3 linked regions of the Arabidopsis thaliana genome follow. The protein of the gene in region 2 binds, or shares a complex with, the protein of the main gene of each other region. Each region holds a gene or a part of one and is shown on either strand. Other genes may lie near its edges.

Evidence for each region. The genes of interacting proteins can lie anywhere in the genome.
Region 1: TAF13 (region 2) and TAF7 share a complex: the UniProt entries of both Arabidopsis thaliana proteins name them as parts of the TFIID complex.
Region 3: TAF13 (region 2) and TAF15b share a complex: the UniProt entries of both Arabidopsis thaliana proteins name them as parts of the TFIID complex.

What each region holds. Positions count from the first base shown.
Region 1 is NC_003070.9:20,627,453-20,631,351, reverse strand, and holds TAF7 (TBP-associated factor 7), read left to right. Parts: upstream 1-1,659; 5' UTR 1,660-1,861; coding exon 1,862-1,976; intron 1,977-2,350; coding exon 2,351-2,484; intron 2,485-2,581; coding exon 2,582-2,701; intron 2,702-2,847; coding exon 2,848-3,198; 3' UTR 3,199-3,329; downstream 3,330-3,899. Other genes in the region: SCL33 (SC35-like splicing factor 33), read right to left, coding at 233-310, 534-676. UniProt on the Arabidopsis thaliana protein: TAFs are components of the transcription factor IID (TFIID) complex that is essential for mediating regulation of RNA polymerase transcription.
Region 2 is NC_003070.9:577,607-584,236, reverse strand, and holds TAF13 (TBP-associated factor 13), read right to left. Parts: upstream 3,613-6,630; 5' UTR 3,492-3,612; intron 3,168-3,491; 5' UTR 3,154-3,167; coding exon 3,051-3,153; intron 2,960-3,050; coding exon 2,922-2,959; intron 2,741-2,921; coding exon 2,681-2,740; intron 2,594-2,680; coding exon 2,519-2,593; intron 2,423-2,518; coding exon 2,318-2,422; 3' UTR 1,927-2,317; downstream 1-1,926. Other genes in the region: AT1G02670 (P-loop containing nucleoside triphosphate hydrolases superfamily protein), read right to left, coding at 3,938-4,010, 4,107-4,187, 4,270-4,358, 4,438-4,590, 4,712-4,816, 4,925-5,041, 5,220-5,342, 5,446-5,515 and 5 more. UniProt on the Arabidopsis thaliana protein: TAFs are components of the transcription factor IID (TFIID) complex that is essential for mediating regulation of RNA polymerase transcription. May be involved in polycomb repressive complex 2 (PRC2) mediated repression.
Region 3 is NC_003076.8:23,636,845-23,642,986, reverse strand, and holds TAF15b (TBP-associated factor 15B), read left to right. Parts: upstream 1-2,013; 5' UTR 2,014-2,132; coding exon 2,133-2,319; intron 2,320-2,449; coding exon 2,450-2,543; intron 2,544-2,665; coding exon 2,666-3,299; intron 3,300-3,438; coding exon 3,439-3,589; intron 3,590-3,668; coding exon 3,669-3,747; intron 3,748-4,297; coding exon 4,298-4,421; 3' UTR 4,422-4,539; exon of another isoform or gene 4,540-4,691; 3' UTR 4,692-5,572; downstream 5,573-6,142. Other genes in the region: AT5G58480 (O-Glycosyl hydrolases family 17 protein), read left to right, coding at 161-504, 674-1,760. UniProt on the Arabidopsis thaliana protein: TAFs are components of the transcription factor IID (TFIID) complex that is essential for mediating regulation of RNA polymerase transcription.

The sequences.
Region 1 (3,899 bases), about 20 Mb from region 2:
ACTATCTGAAAAATATGGAGCCTAAATTTAATTTATGAAATCAGTTTTTAAGAAGATTCTCATAAGGCCCTAGTATCCATGAGAAGACACAAAGAGATGACCGAAAGAAAAAGGAAAGGCAGATAAACGTAGTAAACAAATCAAGAAAGAAGATGTGAAAATAGGGATATTTTCTAATCAGAACATAAGTAAAAATCAAGTGTTGGTTGTCCTATTTACAAAACATGCTCACCCGGTATAATAATCCCTTGGCAGGTAAATGTCCTTGACAGGACCAAACTGCTCAAACGACTTCCTGAGATCTTCTTGCCTGAAGAAAAGGACAAGGAGTAAGAAGAGAATTACAATTTGCTAAAAGCCAAGAAATGAAGATACATTGACGTCAACTTTTTGAAAACCTTTACAGTAAAGATAAGAGAACATCATGCCAAAATATGCTAAGAGGTGTCAAGTCTTCTTGCTTAAGAGGTGTGCAAACAATAACATCATCCACAATGGCTGAAGAAAATAATAGAGAAGTCAAAAGTATGTACCTGCAATCATGGCGTAGATTGCGAACCAAAAGACTGGTCGGGAGGTCCCTGCTACGACCTCCATATCGGCCTCTAGGGCTTGGGCTTCGACCCCTCCTCCCATAACCCCTAGGTGGTGACGGAGTGTAGCTCCTTCCCCTCATTGAGTCAAGCTTCAATCTCTCTATCAGTCAGTCAACACAAACTAGATTAGAAAATACACCAAAAGAGGTTGGATATTTAAGAGAGAAGAGACCACAAACACAAGAGCTATAACACCAGCGTCTAAGAGAACTTTAAAGAAGCAATCAATCTAGAAAGATCATATTTTCTAATTGAATAGTAAATTATATCAAAATAAGATCACATGCAATTCAGGTAGAGATCGAATCAGCTCAATTTCAAAAGATAGGAGCTAAGAAACGTTATATGTGAATAGGCACAAAAGATCACAACTTTCGTCAAACTTACTTAAGATGAACGATTCAATCCTTTATATCGATGTATAGACATAATAATTGCCTGATCTACAGTTTTTTCCGTCACGGGATCTTTCACCGGACTCAAAAAGTTGTACGGGCAACGAAGTTGTTTACAATTGAAGGAATCGAAGTCGGAAAAGCCAAGTTTATTCGACAGAGAAAGAAGAAGATACGGGTATATACGGTTGGGAAGAAGAGCAAAATATCAGGGATAAGACTTACCGGTGAACGAATCTCGGTGGTGAGGAACGACGGAGAAGTGATGCTGCAAGAATTGGAGAAGATTGATCAATGAACGACTTATTTATTAGGGTTTCTTTATATTATTTACGTTTTACATTTAACCCCCTCAAAATTATTTTAAAGTATTAAAATCCCCTTAAAGTTTTCTATTTGATAGATGCTCCATTCCAATTTCTGGTAATTAAATTATCTTCCTTTTTATTATCATTATACATTTATACTTAGTGAGATCAATTATCTAAGAGGAACTAAAAATGTAAAATTCAATAGAATTAAATAGCAAATTGGTGATTTTTCACCAATTGTTGGGTTCTGTTTGTACCTTTTATAATTATTTTGGTCAAAACATAAATCTTGAAACCTTTAGGGAGGGAAATAAAATAATAAATTGTTAAAAGGATACTTCTAGAAGGTTTATCTTATAATGTCTCTCTCTCTCTCTCTCTCTCTCTCTCTCTCTAACATAACAAAGAATTCGTGTTTCAGTTCAATAGATTCTCGTCTCTTTTCGACTTACGACATCAACAGACCGAAGTATACGTATTCGATACGATCTGCGTTCGCGAATTCACGTTTCTGGATTGATTAAGAAGAAGAATTCAAGTCAAGCTGTTGGTATCTACAATGGAAGAACAGTTCATACTTAGGGTTCCACCGTCTGTTTCAGAACGAATTGATCGGCTTTTAAGCGAGGATGCTTCTACTTCCGACGAAATCCCTTTGGATTTGTTTTTTTCAGGTACCAATTTTTAAAGGGTTTCTCTCTTTTTTGGCACATTACATCTGGGTTAAAGTTTCATCCTTTTTCTTAAATTTATGTCCTTTAGTCGTCAATCAATGAAATTAGTGTCTGGATCGTTTCGGGGATTGCTCCTTGTGTCACGTGATGAGTTCTTGAATGTTGGTTTGCCCAAAAGACATTCTTGAATCTGATTAAGGATCAAAGCTTGTGATTTGTGTCTCCTGGATCAGCTTAATGTTGTGAATTGTCTGTTTTGTCAAAGAAGCCAAAAGACATTCTTGTTGCATCATTATAGTTTGTCTAGAAATCCATTTGCATATTGTCTCTGGAGCAAACTTGATACGTAATGTTTGTGTGAACTGAATTTGCAGAGGATGGGAGAAACGGGACGTTTATGATTGGAAACGACGAGTTCCCGGCTTCTCTGCTTGATCTCCCTGCAGTTGTTGAGTCTTTTAAAACTTATGATGATTGTGCATTAGTCAAAACTGCTGATATTGGGCAGGTAAAATCAAGTTACTTGATTCATCTTTTACTTATATGCGTTAACTTCTGTAATTTTGGACTAAAACTCAATATGGATGCTTTGATTTGGCACACAGATGATCATGGTTAGGGAGCCTGGTGATCCTGCGCCTAATACAGTTGAATACAGACATGGTCTAACTCCTCCAATGAAGGATGCTCGAAAGAGGAGATTTCGTCGAGAGCCTGACCTTAATGTAATTTTCATTTGTTGTTATCTATCCATCAACATTGTTTCACTAATACTTGTGATTATGATTGAAAGTCTGTAGTGAAACGTATCTTTTGGAACTCCAAAGTTCTTTCTATTAAGTTAACATATTGATTTGCCAAAATGTTGCAGCCGGAGCTTGTACAGCGGGTTGAGAGAGACTTGTTGAATATATTGAGTGGCGGAACGGTAGAAAATGTAAGCTTTTCTTTCTATTTTCGACACATGATGTGTCTATATTTGCTCCTTGGATTTAGTAACTTCATTTATTTGAACTTTTTTTGGTGTAGGTACATGAGCAAGAGGAACCAGCTACGAACGAGAATGCTAGTAATGCAAGTAAGAAAGTATCTTCTTCTTCACCTACACCTGTTGAAAAGCCTGAAGCTCCTGAGACAGGCACTAGTAATCCAACAGGAGTTGAACCGGAGAGAAGTGAATCAGAAGATTCTGATGATTCAATGTGAGTTTATTATTATATAAAGAGATTTTTCTTACGAAAGCTTAGAGTTTGCGCAAGTCCTGTCTTAGAAAATCATGGATAATTATGTCCCCATGATTTGATGATGTCTTGTTCGACCTTTTTCAATGGAAAAGTTGTTTTGCGTTCAAACTACACCAAAGATTCTGTTTATTCTAGTTCAATTTCGGTTATTTCTTGAAGACAGTTTCAGGAATGAACCAAAGATTGATAGTAAAAGAAAAACCTTAGACTTAAAGAACAAGAACCAAGACATTGTTGATGCTAAACCTATCAAAAGCTGGAATCTAATCCAAACACCAACCATCGCCTTCATTAAACTTTAAGGTTTTTCTTCCGGGTCATTTTCTACAATGCCAAGAATAAGAAAAGAAAATTGACACTCTGCCTAGAAATTGAGATTCTAATTATCGGTCCCTCCATTTTCTATCCTGAATAGTGAATACGTGCAACCATGTCTACCTTTCATTACATACACAATTATGAATTATGTCATTTTTCAAACAAAACAACCCGAAGCTAAAACAAATGTGTAGAGCCTCGTAAGTAGTTGCCGTCACGATCTTCCTCTTCATCTTCTTCGTGTTCTTTCTATAAATTCTTTTTAGTCTTTGTATCAAGAAGCTTCCACAGCTTTTATAAACACTCATTGAGAAGAAAGAAAAACGTCAAGGGATTAGTCTAGGTTTTGGCTTGCCCCGGT
Region 2 (6,630 bases):
TTTATACAACGTGACGTCGGGATTCGAGGAGGCTACGGGTAAAAGACGATATTGGGCTTAGGCTTTAGTATTAATCACGATATTGCCACAACTTTTGAATTTGAAATCGCAACGTCTACAAAAGGTATAGCGCGATTTTAGTAATATAGTGATTACTAATGCTGACCTGTCTTTTGACTTTAATAAAGAGGCTTTATTATATAAATTAGCCCAATATCGGCCCAACGTTTGCTCAGTAAAGTAATGTTTTATGAATCTGATTACAATAAATTGGGCCTGGTATTTAAGCATCTTAAACGCTATTTCATGACAAACATAAGCATCAACGGACAAGAACTTAACCACCTCTACATCAAGAACTTCATTAGCCAAGTCTCTCGGACAAATCTCCCTCTTCGGTTTCCACGAACCAAATCCCAACAACTCACAAGCCATACCCTTCAAGCTAACCCTTGACCTCTCACCATAACTAAATGGAAAATTTACCTTTACCAGATCACGAACGTCAACTTTCTTAACCACTACTCTAACTAGCCCACCGAGCTTAGCGACAGTTTTAGCAATACCTATTCCTACAAAAACAAACCTCTCATCACGAAATAGATCACTAAGGCATTCGCCGAGATTGGTATTTTGTTTCATATGAAGTAGTTGGAGTATGAGGCATTTGGTTTTGATGCATAGTTGAAGAGTCGAGATTTTTGCATCATCTTGAGGATTGGTCTTGGAGTTTAGAGAGATGATCACCGTTGGTTCATCTCGGTAGGTTAATCGTATGGCGAGGATCCAATTCTTGGCTATGGAAACTTCATTTGTCACCGTTGTTTCTATGAGTTTTTCACGAAATGGAATCAACTGTGTAATTGTTACCATCGCTCAGTATGATTTTTCACTTACGCATATGTCCATGCATAATATAAACGGTTGGTATTATCAAAGTCTTCAATTTTCGAAAAGAACTCGATTCAATGAATTGGTCAAATGTGCTATTAATATGACCAATTTCCGATTGAAAACATTGAACATAAAATATTTAACGAGATCTTTAATCTGCAAACCAAATTTAACATTCCCCACAAACACAAATAGAATTTAGTAGATATACTTCATTCTCCTATTTTCTCATTAATGAATTCAAATACACTCACTAATTACAGAAACAAAAATGAAGAAAAAGTTAAAAGGAATTAAATTAAATTATAATACAAAAACCAAAAATGACCAAGAAATTAAAACCTGAATGATGATGACGTAAACTTGATAGATGATACGAACCATAATTAATAAGATCATTAATGCATCACTATATATCCCTTTGGCTTTGCAACGATCAGTGTAAACCTGATTTTGCATCTTCATTATTGCATAGAACCTCAGCTTTCTCATCAATCATATCGTCTCCTCCTTCCACATCACTATAACATTCATCTTCTTCCTCATCAATATCATCATCATATAAGGACATGGCTGATCCATATCCCGAGATTCCTGATGATGATGAAGATGAAGCCGCCGTGAAAACCTCCATAGTCTCTGATAAACGACCCTCGGAATCATCATCATCTTCATTATCATTATCACCATCGTCTCCTCCCATTTCTGTCGCTGGCAGAGGAGGAGGAGCCGGAGGGAGAACAATTGTGTTAGTAAAAGTTGACGATGGCATTATCGTAATTTCGAAACGGAGTTTACGTACGGACTTAACGACTCGCCGCCAGAACCTGGTGTTGAAGGGTTTTCTCCCCGGCGGCGACGAAGCATGAACATGACGACGGAGAACATGTGCATCCCACGTGATGACTTTTTCTTCTTCATGCTCGTGTTGTTTATTTGCTCTATCTCTAATTGATCACAATGATTTTCTTTAGTTGGTAATTGATCACCATTCTTATTTATTGTTTCCATGGTAAAATAATGAATCAAAATATCAGAAAGATGACGAAAAATTTAGAGAAAAACAAAAGTCTTATAATGATGACTAATTTTATAATTATTGCGGTAATTAATTTAATGAAAGAAACAAAAATCGGGTGGTTATTCTAAATTTTTAGGGTTTCGAAATTCCTGACTCAAGAAAAATTAAAGGTCGTCCGTAGATATATACGGGATGCTAGATAATGGGCTTTCTTCTAATGGGCCTACATTTAATATGAGTCGGCCTTGTGCAAGATTTTTTTTCACCTTTTTTAAGTCAACACACTTTTTTTTTGCTACTGTGCTTCGAATTCTGATTACAACCTAAAACGCTGTCCCTAGTCCGGCATCCATGAGGTTCCTCTTACCTAGCATTTGTTCCTCCCGTTGAGGAAAAGCAAGATCAATCAACGAGTTCCTTTTCGTCGACATCAAAAGCTTTGCGTGCTTGTTTCAGCTCTTCCTGCATCGCCAACAGTTCTCTACAGCGGTTCAGTTTTGGCAAATCCTGCATAAATCAAAGACGCCAAAGTTTCGGATATAGAATACAAAACCATAAACCATCTCAATCATCGATTGTGTACTTTTTAAAAAGAATTTTTACCTTGCGGATAAGATACAAGAAATCATCAACTAGAAGTCTTCCTCGCTTTGAACCAATTTCTTGAGCTTTATGTGTCTGCCATTGAAACATCACTTGTTAGCTAATATCTCTCCGCTTGTAATGTAAAACATGAATCATTCACAAAAAGAAAAAGCTCACTACCAAATCTGTGACGTATTCCACAACAATGTCTTCTACAAGCGCCACAGACTCTGGAAGAGGCTAAATACAGAGGAGTTTTGGATCAGTTTCAGGTGGTAAAACACTAAAAGATGTTACACGACCAAGAACCCTTTAAAGCAAAGATTCTCTACCTAATTCGTTACTTGTATTGGAATGAAACTATATCTACAAATACGGTTCATATGGCAACAAAATAGTAATGAAGAGGATAGCGGCTTACGTTTTGCTCGTCGCCAAATCCATACATCATATGCTGCACTGAAAAATCAACAAAAGCACCAAAACCATTGTTACCAGAAGAATCACAAAATGAAGAATACAAAAATCTGGTTTTAACTAAAGACTTTACATTCTTTTTGAAAGAGAGTTTTGCGCTTTTCCTGTGGCTGAGAAGTTCCCGCAGCTTTCGATTTAGACGATGATGACGCCGCCGCTGCTGGTGTGTTACTCATCTCTTCTTCTTCTTCTGATAATCAAAATCCAGGAGAGCAAAATAATAGAAAAATAAGTGAAATTCCTCTACCGACAAAATCCAATTGAGTCAAATACTAACCCTAGGTGAAAATTTTCAAAAAAGAAAAAACAGTGTAATCTCAACTAGAAAATGAAATTCCGAGCCTATATTCTAGATTTCTACCGCAATCAAAACCAGAGAGCTACCGGAAAGTTGTATTCCGGTACAGTACAACAACCAACGGAGTTAAATCGAATAAGGTTCTTTATCCAAATATTTGTCGTCATGGAAAAGGAATGAAAATTGAAAAGGGAATAGTGAGAGCAGAGAGCTCACCGTAGATTGATCGACGGGAGTAGCAGAGGTGGTCGTTGCAAAATCGGCGATGAAGATGATGAGAACGAAGAAACGGGGACTTGTTCACTGATCTCTCTCTCTCTCGTAGAAGAAGCACATTGCATTACATACGAAGTAATTGGGCTTAATAAATAGGCCCATTTATATTAAACCAGCCCATAATCTAAACCAGAAACCCGTACACTAGTCGACCGACATTGTAACTAAGTTCTCACGGTATGGCTCAAACCGGCCATGGCCTCATGCTCAATATTCTTCGGGAGAAGGAAAAGTTTGTGATCCGATTCATATACAATCTATCCGGTGCTCATCATATTACACAAGTATGTATCAAATCTTTTAGCTTGAGCCTAATTTTGTCCTGTCAAGACTCTTTTTTCTATCTATACAAATTTTCTATCATGTTCTTCATCTACAAGATTTGGTTATGCGAACAGGGACTTGATATCGTCTTCTCCCAGCTTTTGTACAACGGCCTCTTCAGAGTCACCTAACGTACTGTAACAAAGCAAATATGTCTTCATATAGGCTTCATACAGTTGACAATAAGAAACCAGCAAAGTTGAGAGAAGCGTATCGTTTAAAATAAGAAACCTTTCAAACAAATCTTCCTTCTTCTTTTGAAGCGTTAGTATCTTTTCCTCTACTGTTTTCTCCATTATGAATCTTACAACCCTGTCACACAACCAAATGTTTCTTCTTTCTTCCCCCACCAAAACAACATACAGTATATTGAAGGACAACTCAAAAATATAACCTGACAGGCTTGCACTGTCCGATCCTATGTATTCTGTCCTGTGCTTGCCTCTCAACCGCTGGGTTCCACCACGGGTCCATCATGAACACCTATACAATCAAACACCCGAATGTCAGTGAATAAAACATGTTCTAGGAGCAACTGTTTTATAAGTTGTACACTTCTTACATGCGAAGCGGCTGTTAGATTTAGAGCAACCCCTCCAGCTTGCAAGCTCATTAATAAAACTCTGCAATCTGGCTCTTCTTTAAAATTTTTGAGTGCAGCATCTTTAGCTGCCTTGGACATGCTTCCCACCAGTTGAACACAGCTAACCCCAGACTGCGTTGTACAAAATGAGTCAATCATTTTTATTCAATGTCTCATTATGATTAAAGAGAATGTTAAAGGAGCACAGATATAGTAGTAGTAGCATTTTGTAGTTGGTTGCGCTTGAAATTACCTTCCCCAAGGCGTAACTTATCAGGTCCAAGAATGATGTGAACTGGCTGAATACTATTGCTTTGGCAGACCAATCTCTTTCAACCATGAACCTGATTTCTTCTCTCTGCATACAAATTTTTTTTATCACCAAATGGTTAGATAAAGCCTCCAATCTCCAAAGAAACTTTAAGCGTGGGAGAGACAGAAGCTGTAGATCTCAAAGGGCACATACCAAAGCCTCAATCTTTGTACTTGTTTTAAAATCATCGAGGTTTATCCGATTTAAAATGCTAGAGGCTCTAAATCCTTTAAGCTTTGTCTTGCTTGCCTGATGTTCACTAGAAGTCACCTTCAAAGTAAGAGAACCAAAGACATATTAACCGAACAAGTTAAGTCCAACATTAGTCATCCGATGATTCTTTAAGAAAGTGTAAAATGGTGGCAGCTATTTCCAGAAGATACAGTTACTGAGAAACAAGAGTCGAGATAGTATGAAATAGCAACAATATATCGACTGGAACACTTACAAAGTAGTCCTTGGAAGGGTCATGGCCGAAACCACATTCTTTCTCATTTTTGTTCGCATCAAGCAAGTTAGCGTTAGCGCCACTAGGACTAGAATAACTCACCAGGTATGGATGATCAACAGCCTGAAAAAATTGCAAGAAAATGCATCAGAAATCTATATACCTATATCATCCAAAACATGCACTGGCTTGTAAATAGAACAACAAAACTATCGATACCACTCACTTGTCTCAGTCGGATAAGAAGACCAAATATATGTGCATAGTTATTCATCAATGTCCCAGCCTGAATATACCTGCAGAAACAAATGTACATGTCAGATTTAATAATAAAATTCAGTTTACACAAAGCATGGAGCAGAAACCAGTGAAAATCCATAGAACAAAAGTAACTTACCCATCAAATGTTGTCTTGCTAACTTTGTATAGTGATTCATAGAAATCAGCTTCTACTACACTTAGTGCATCTCGCCTCAGAGAGATCTAAATTTATATGTAGAGATCAAGCTCGGAAGCAACTATACCAAGCTTCATTTATATCAGACAAGGGAGAGAAAGGAACATACGATTCTAGAAGGAAGAGCAAGGTCAGCTGCCCGGCCCAATTTAGTACGTCTTAGTAGAATGTCCTTTAGAACATTTTGTTTAAGGAATATACAGGCTCTGTTTCTCCGTTTGTCCACATTCTAGCAAGATTGGAAAATATAAAAACCAAAGAACATAATGGTGATCCTGCTTTTAAAATGTTTTTAATAATGGCACCTCAAAGTTACCTCTTTCCACCAAGAGATGTGTTGATTTGCATTATGAGGACAGCTGGGACATTTTCGATGCGCACTGCAGTCACCGCCAAAGCCCAAAGGCAATGGACAAAGGAAATGAAACAGCAAAGATTGTTATGAACTATCAAACAGAAGTATGGGAAAGGAGAAAGTAACCAGGAATTGAGAGTGGTAAGATGTTACCTCCGATCAAGAACTTCACAGTCACATTTCTTGCAAAAGTAATATGAGTATGGCGAAACGCGAAGGAAGCGTATCTGGGACAAACAATCAGCAATGTTGAGATATCATTACGTGCTATAGAAAAAGTTGAGGAAAGAGTAACTAACCAGGGAGTAGAGCTCGTCAACATCATTCTGGAGAGGGGTACCACTCAGAGCCCATCTGTAGGTCGCCTCCAAAGCAAAAACAGCTTTGGCAGTGCGACTACTTCTGTTTTTGATATCATGAGCCTGATATGAAGACAAACGGGAATTATATCAAATTTGCAGTGAGCTTCCCCTGAAGGATAAAAGATTCACAAAAAGCAAATTTGCAGTGAGCTTCCCCTGCTGTGGTTTACTGTACAATAAATCTCACAGTCCCCTTTCCTTACATGCTTGAAAATGGAAAAGAAGAAGAACCAGCAG
Region 3 (6,142 bases), on a different chromosome or scaffold from region 2:
GAATGTGAAGCCCAAGCCCAATTTCTAAACACCGTGTCGTTTTGATAGCTAAATAACAGTGAGATGCTGAGTCGTGAAACGGCACGCAGTGTTTTGTTTTTTTAAACATTGAATTTCTCGGCCCGACATTATCGTGGAAGTACGAGATTCACTGGATTTGATGGCTCGTCGGCTGTTTCTCCTCCTCCTCGCCGTCACGGCAGGGTTGAGCTTGACGGGAACAACCGTCAGAGCAGTTGGCATAAATTGGGGGACAGAAGCGTCGCACCCTCTTCCGCCTTCAAAGGTTGTAGAGCTTCTGAAATCAAACGGCATTGTCAAAGTGAAGCTCTTCGATGCCGACCCAAAAGTTCTCCGAGCTCTCTCTGGTTCTAATATTGGTGTCACTATCGGAATCCAAAATTCGATGCTCAAGAGCTTGAATGCATCCGTAAAGGTAGCAGAGAGCTGGGTACATGACAATGTCACTCGTTACTTCAACGGTGGAAACAGAGTTCGAATCGAGTATCTTCTTTCTCCTTCTCTTCTGCTTATCCAGTTATATATATATAGATTTAAGATTTTTAAGCTGGAATTTAACTTATGGAATGTGAATGAGTCGGATTTGTTTCAATGCCAAATTGCCAATCTTCTTATTGTGAAATTATCATTAAAGAAAAGAATTGATTTTCAGGTATGTAGCAGTTGGAGAAGAGCCATTTCTCCAGAGCTATGGCAATCAGTATAAGCCTTTTGTGATTGGGGCAGCTATGAATATCCAAAATGCTTTAGTTAAGGCGAACTTGGCAAATGAAGTGAAGGTTGTAGTCCCCTCAAGCTTTGATTCCTTTCTTTCTGAATCTGGTCGACCTTCTTCAGGACACTTTAGGGCTGACCTCAACAAGACGATGATTGAACTCCTCTCCTTTCTCACAAAGCACCACTCTCCTTTTTTTGTGACAATCTCTCCTTTCCTAAGCTTTCACCAGAACAAGAACATCTCCCTTGACTTTAGCCTCTTTAAAGAAACAGCAAAGGCTCACAAAGACGGACGTAAAACCTACAGAAACAGCTTTGATCTAAGCTATGACACACTTGTCTCTGCATTGTTCACAATTGGGTTTTCGGAGGTGGATATCGTTGTGTCAAAGATCGGTTGGCCTACAGATGGAGCAGAAAATGCAACATCACTGACTGCTGAGGCGTTCTTTAAAGGACTGATAGTTCACTTGGAGAAAAAGACGGCCTCTCTCCCGCGTCCTCCTGTTGAAACCTACATTGAAAGTCTCTTGGACGAAGATCAGAGAAACTTATCTGCTGGGAACTTTGAGAGGCACTGGGGAGTGTTCACTTTCGACGGTCAAGCCAAATACAATTTCAGTTTCAACCATAAGAATCAGGTAAACGCGCAGAATGTTCAGTACCTTCCTCCTAAGTGGTGTGTGGTGAACAATAACAAGGACTTGTCAAACGCGTCAGCAAGAGCATTAGAAGCGTGTGCTGTTGCGGACTGTACATCGATACTTCCTGGCGGGTCGTGTTCAGGCATCAGATGGCCAGGCAACGTTTCATACGCGTTCAATAGCTTGTACCAGCAAAATGATCACAGTGCAGAAAGCTGCAACTTTGGTGGACTTGGTTTGATCACTACTGTTGATCCTTCTGAGGATAATTGCCGGTTCTCGATTCAACTTGACACTTCTCATTCATCTTCGCAAACTCCAAATTTCTTTCAGAGCTGGCCTCTCCTCTTATTGTTCCTACTGTCCGGACTCTTTTAAAGTTGTAGTTATAGCAAAATTTTGGTGGATTTTGCCTCTAATTTCTCTCTAATAGCCACATTTCAAAACTGTATTGGGCTACGTAAAAAATAACTGTTATTGGGCTGGGCCTTCGTAAAGGTTAGATGATTATGGGCCTTAGAACCATGTTGTCTTATTTGATAAAAAAAGCAAGTCCAGTTATTTTGGGAAACCGGTCGGTAAAAGATAAGATGTAAAAGAATTTAAGATTTAAGATAAATGCAATAATAAAGTTCCACTATTTTTGAGAGAAATATAAATAAAACGCGAGATTTTTTATTCTACGTCTAAAAAGGCTCTCACACGATTCGTTAAGAGTTTTGGTCTGTTGTTTATCGCAAACCCTAGGTCATGGCTGGGATGTACAATCAAGACGGCGGCGGAGGTGCGCCTATTCCGTCGTACGGTGGTGATGGATACGGCGGAGGGGGAGGTTATGGAGGTGGTGATGCTGGATATGGTGGACGCGGTGCCTCTGGCGGAGGTAGTTACGGCGGACGCGGTGGTTACGGTGGAGGCGGTGGTAGAGGAAATCGAGGTTTGTGATTTAGATTGTTGCAGATCTGATTGATATAACCTTATGATTCTTTAGATTTCTCCATTCCTTGCTGAGCTACTTTTGTTAAATCTTTAGTTTCTCACTATTTCGATGATTCGTTTTGATTTAGGCGGTGGAGGTGGTGGATATCAAGGAGGTGATCGCGGTGGAAGAGGAAGTGGCGGCGGAGGCAGAGATGGAGATTGGCGTTGTCCCAACCCCAGGTAATGATTGCAAATTATTTGGGATTCCATTCTTTCTGCATATGTAATGAATTGAATTAGCTGTTGAATTCCTTTGTGGGAGCATGTTTTGAAATTGTTTACCCTCGAAACTGTTTGTATAGTTGTGGGAACGTGAACTTTGCAAGGAGAGTTGAATGTAACAAGTGTGGTGCACTTGCTCCTTCTGGTACTAGTTCTGGTGCTAATGATCGTGGAGGTGGTGGATATAGCCGAGGTGGAGGTGACAGTGATCGTGGGGGTGGTCGTGGTGGTAGAAACGATAGTGGTAGGAGCTATGAGAGTAGTAGATATGATGGTGGAAGTAGGAGTGGTGGTAGCTATGGTAGTGGTAGTCAGAGGGAAAATGGTTCGTATGGTCAGGCTCCTCCTCCTGCTGCAGCTATTCCATCCTACGATGGTTCTGGAAGTTATCCTCCACCCACGGGTTATGGAATGGAAGCTGTTCCCCCGCCTACAAGCTATTCTGGTGGCCCGCCGTCATATGGTGGTCCACGAGGGGGTTATGGCAGTGATGCACCGAGCACTGGTGGTCGTGGTGGTAGGAGTGGCGGCTATGATGGTGGTAGTGCTCCTCGACGGCAGGAAGCTAGTTATGAAGATGCAGCTACTGAAAAAGTCAAGCAGTGCGATGCTGATTGTGATGATAATTGTGATAATGCTAGAATATACATCTCTAATTTACCTCCGGATGTGACAACTGATGAACTCAAGGATCTCTTTGGTGGCATTGGCCAAGTAATAACACTGGTCTTTTACTTCTGTTGTGTTTTATATCTTGGAATAAGCCTTTCCCTTGCTATAAGTTATTAAGTTCTTGTTTGTGTACATGTTTATTGGTGTGCTGATAAAGTGTGTCTGGTTGGATCTATTTTAGGTTGGAAGAATTAAGCAGAAGCGTGGTTACAAAGATCAGTGGCCCTATAATATTAAGATTTACACTGATGAGAAGGGTAACTATAAAGGTGACGCCTGTCTGGCTTATGAAGATCCCAGCGCTGCACACTCTGCAGGCGGCTTTTTCAACAGTATGTACTATGGAATTGCTGTCTAGCTTAAAATTGTTTAAAAGTTCTGTTTCGTGAATGGTGGTGGATTGTTTTGTAGATTACGAAATGAGGGGGAACAAGATTAGTGTAACGATGGCAGAAAAGTCTGCGCCCCGTGCTCCTACCTTTGACCAGAGGTAGCTGTCCTGATCATTTATCAGCATTCTTTTTTGTTACCATTTAGCTGTTACCACCTGCTCCATCTTATAGGTGTTTGTACTCTAGTTGTTTTAGGCTTTTAGCTTTATAATTTTAGTAGGGAATATGAGTTTTTGCAATGCTAAGTTTATGTTCCTTGTCTCTGAAGACTGTTTGGATCTTGTATCCTACTGGGGATTTGCTTTGTACACTCATCTGGGTATGACAGAAAGGGTTGGGAGTTCGTATGTCATCAAATTATGCCTTAGGTCTATGTTCATGCCATAGGAAATAAATCTATGTAGTTATCTTGTAACCTATAGCTGTGGCTGCTCTTGGTTGTGAAGAGATCTGTTGTTTGTTCATGCTTCTTATAAGCTCCTAGTAATTCCCCATATAAGTTGTATCTTTATCTGGTTTTCCATGCTCTATAAGACTCGTCTTTGTTGTGTGTTGAGTCACTTCATCTTACGTAGTAAGCTGGTTTTAATTAGAGATGTCTGTGTCTGATCTAATAATGTTGTCCTTGCAAACTTGTGAATGTCGCAGAGGTGGGGGTAGAGGAGGAGGAGGTGGTGGCTATGGTGGTGGTGGGGGAGACAGAAGAAGAGACAACTACAGTTCAGGGCCAGACAGAAACCACCATGGGGGAAACCGGTCTCGTCCATATTGAGAGAAAGAGAGGAATGAATGAATCAGCTGTTATGTGTTCTAAGAGTTTTGTGTGTGTTAAGGAGGGAATTTTAGTAAAATGTTCTATGAATCCTCATATTGGAGATACAAAAAAAGAGGTAGGTTTTTGTTCACTTTGACCTTGAGCAAAATTACCCCTTTTTTCTCCCTACTTGTTCTGTTTCTTTGGGGATCTATTATTCATGCATCTCCGGTTTATTTTTAGTTTGTTTTTCACGATGTGAAATGTTTGTTTTTTGTTTTATTGAAGGAAGCTGATATTTAACTGCAAAATGCATTGCAAATTGGTGCTATGATGATTTCAGGTGAGTGCATTCATCTTGATTACTTCTTTCAACACCAGAAGTCCCTTTTTTGCTTCTCTTCCTTCTTTTTTTGACTCTGTTCAACACAAACAAAACAGTCGTATGTTTTCATGTTGTATTGTGTAATGCATTCATTTAGGCAACCACACTTCTCTTTACAATTTTCGGAGTTGTTATCGTTTTTTCTCGCAAACTTCTTTTATAGCAACATGTGTTCCTCGAGAATTGGCAGGAGTGGGGGATGGCTAGGCACTTGTGTCTGATCAGTTGATCTGAAGTATGCAGTGACCTTTCAAAGATCAACTTGATGATTTTATTGCCAACTTCACTCACTGGGGCTATGATTAGGATTAGGGTTTTACAAATGAGTGGCCTTTTTTTGGATAAAAGACGTTGTTAATAAATAGTTAATCGTTCAATCTGGATCCCAAGGACTAAAGAGAAGGGTGTCTCGTAAAGTTCTCTATGTGTATATGTCATGACCTTTTGGTCAAGTGCCGGATTGGCCAACTCTTTAATGTGTTACATGTAACGAAAGTTTATGTTGAAATTATAGGAACAAAAAAGACTAATGCCGAAAATCCCAAGAGAAAGTTTATTAATGACTTGTTGTGTAGAAAATATGGACGAGAGAAAGAATCCAGGAAATTTGGAATCCTGTAACATTAGTTTCAAGATTCCCATTCTCAATTCGACAAAGAGAATCCATCTTCTAACATTGCATATTCACAGCTCAATCGCTGGCTGGCTCTAGCACACGGCGATATTACTTATTTACCATCCCTTTCACACACATATTGGATAATATACATATTCTTAATAAAAGTCCACCAGTAGTCTTAAGCATAAATTTACAAAAAAAAAAAAAAAAAAAAAAAGTAAGGCAGTAACAATGTAATTCTAACAAACTGCTTAGATGTGTGAAATCCAGATATTTGTAAGTTGTAACTTGTAAGACCACACTATTTAATACTTAATGTGTTCTTAACCTCAAATTGACAATACCTGCGATTTTTCTCACTTTCGACACAATTTTCTATATGATTTGAACTTCAACAATTCTATATAAAAAAAGGTAAAATATTTACATGCAAATAATAAACTTACCCATTACCATATCTTGTATACAAGAAGCTAAACGAAGGAGGGAATGAAGTAGGAATCACATATAAGCAAGAAGAAGCTATGGAACTCAGGATGGATAGCGCCAACAGATATACATGTACGCATATACAAAACATACAGCACTGGTGAGCCATGGCGCTATCCCTCCTGAGCTTTATAGCTATTTCTCTACTACTCAATCTGAAATTTACATCCATAGGTATGCATCTTCCTTTACATATGTGTTATAATGTATCATGTATGTTATATGTATTGTAATGTTAAGTACGTA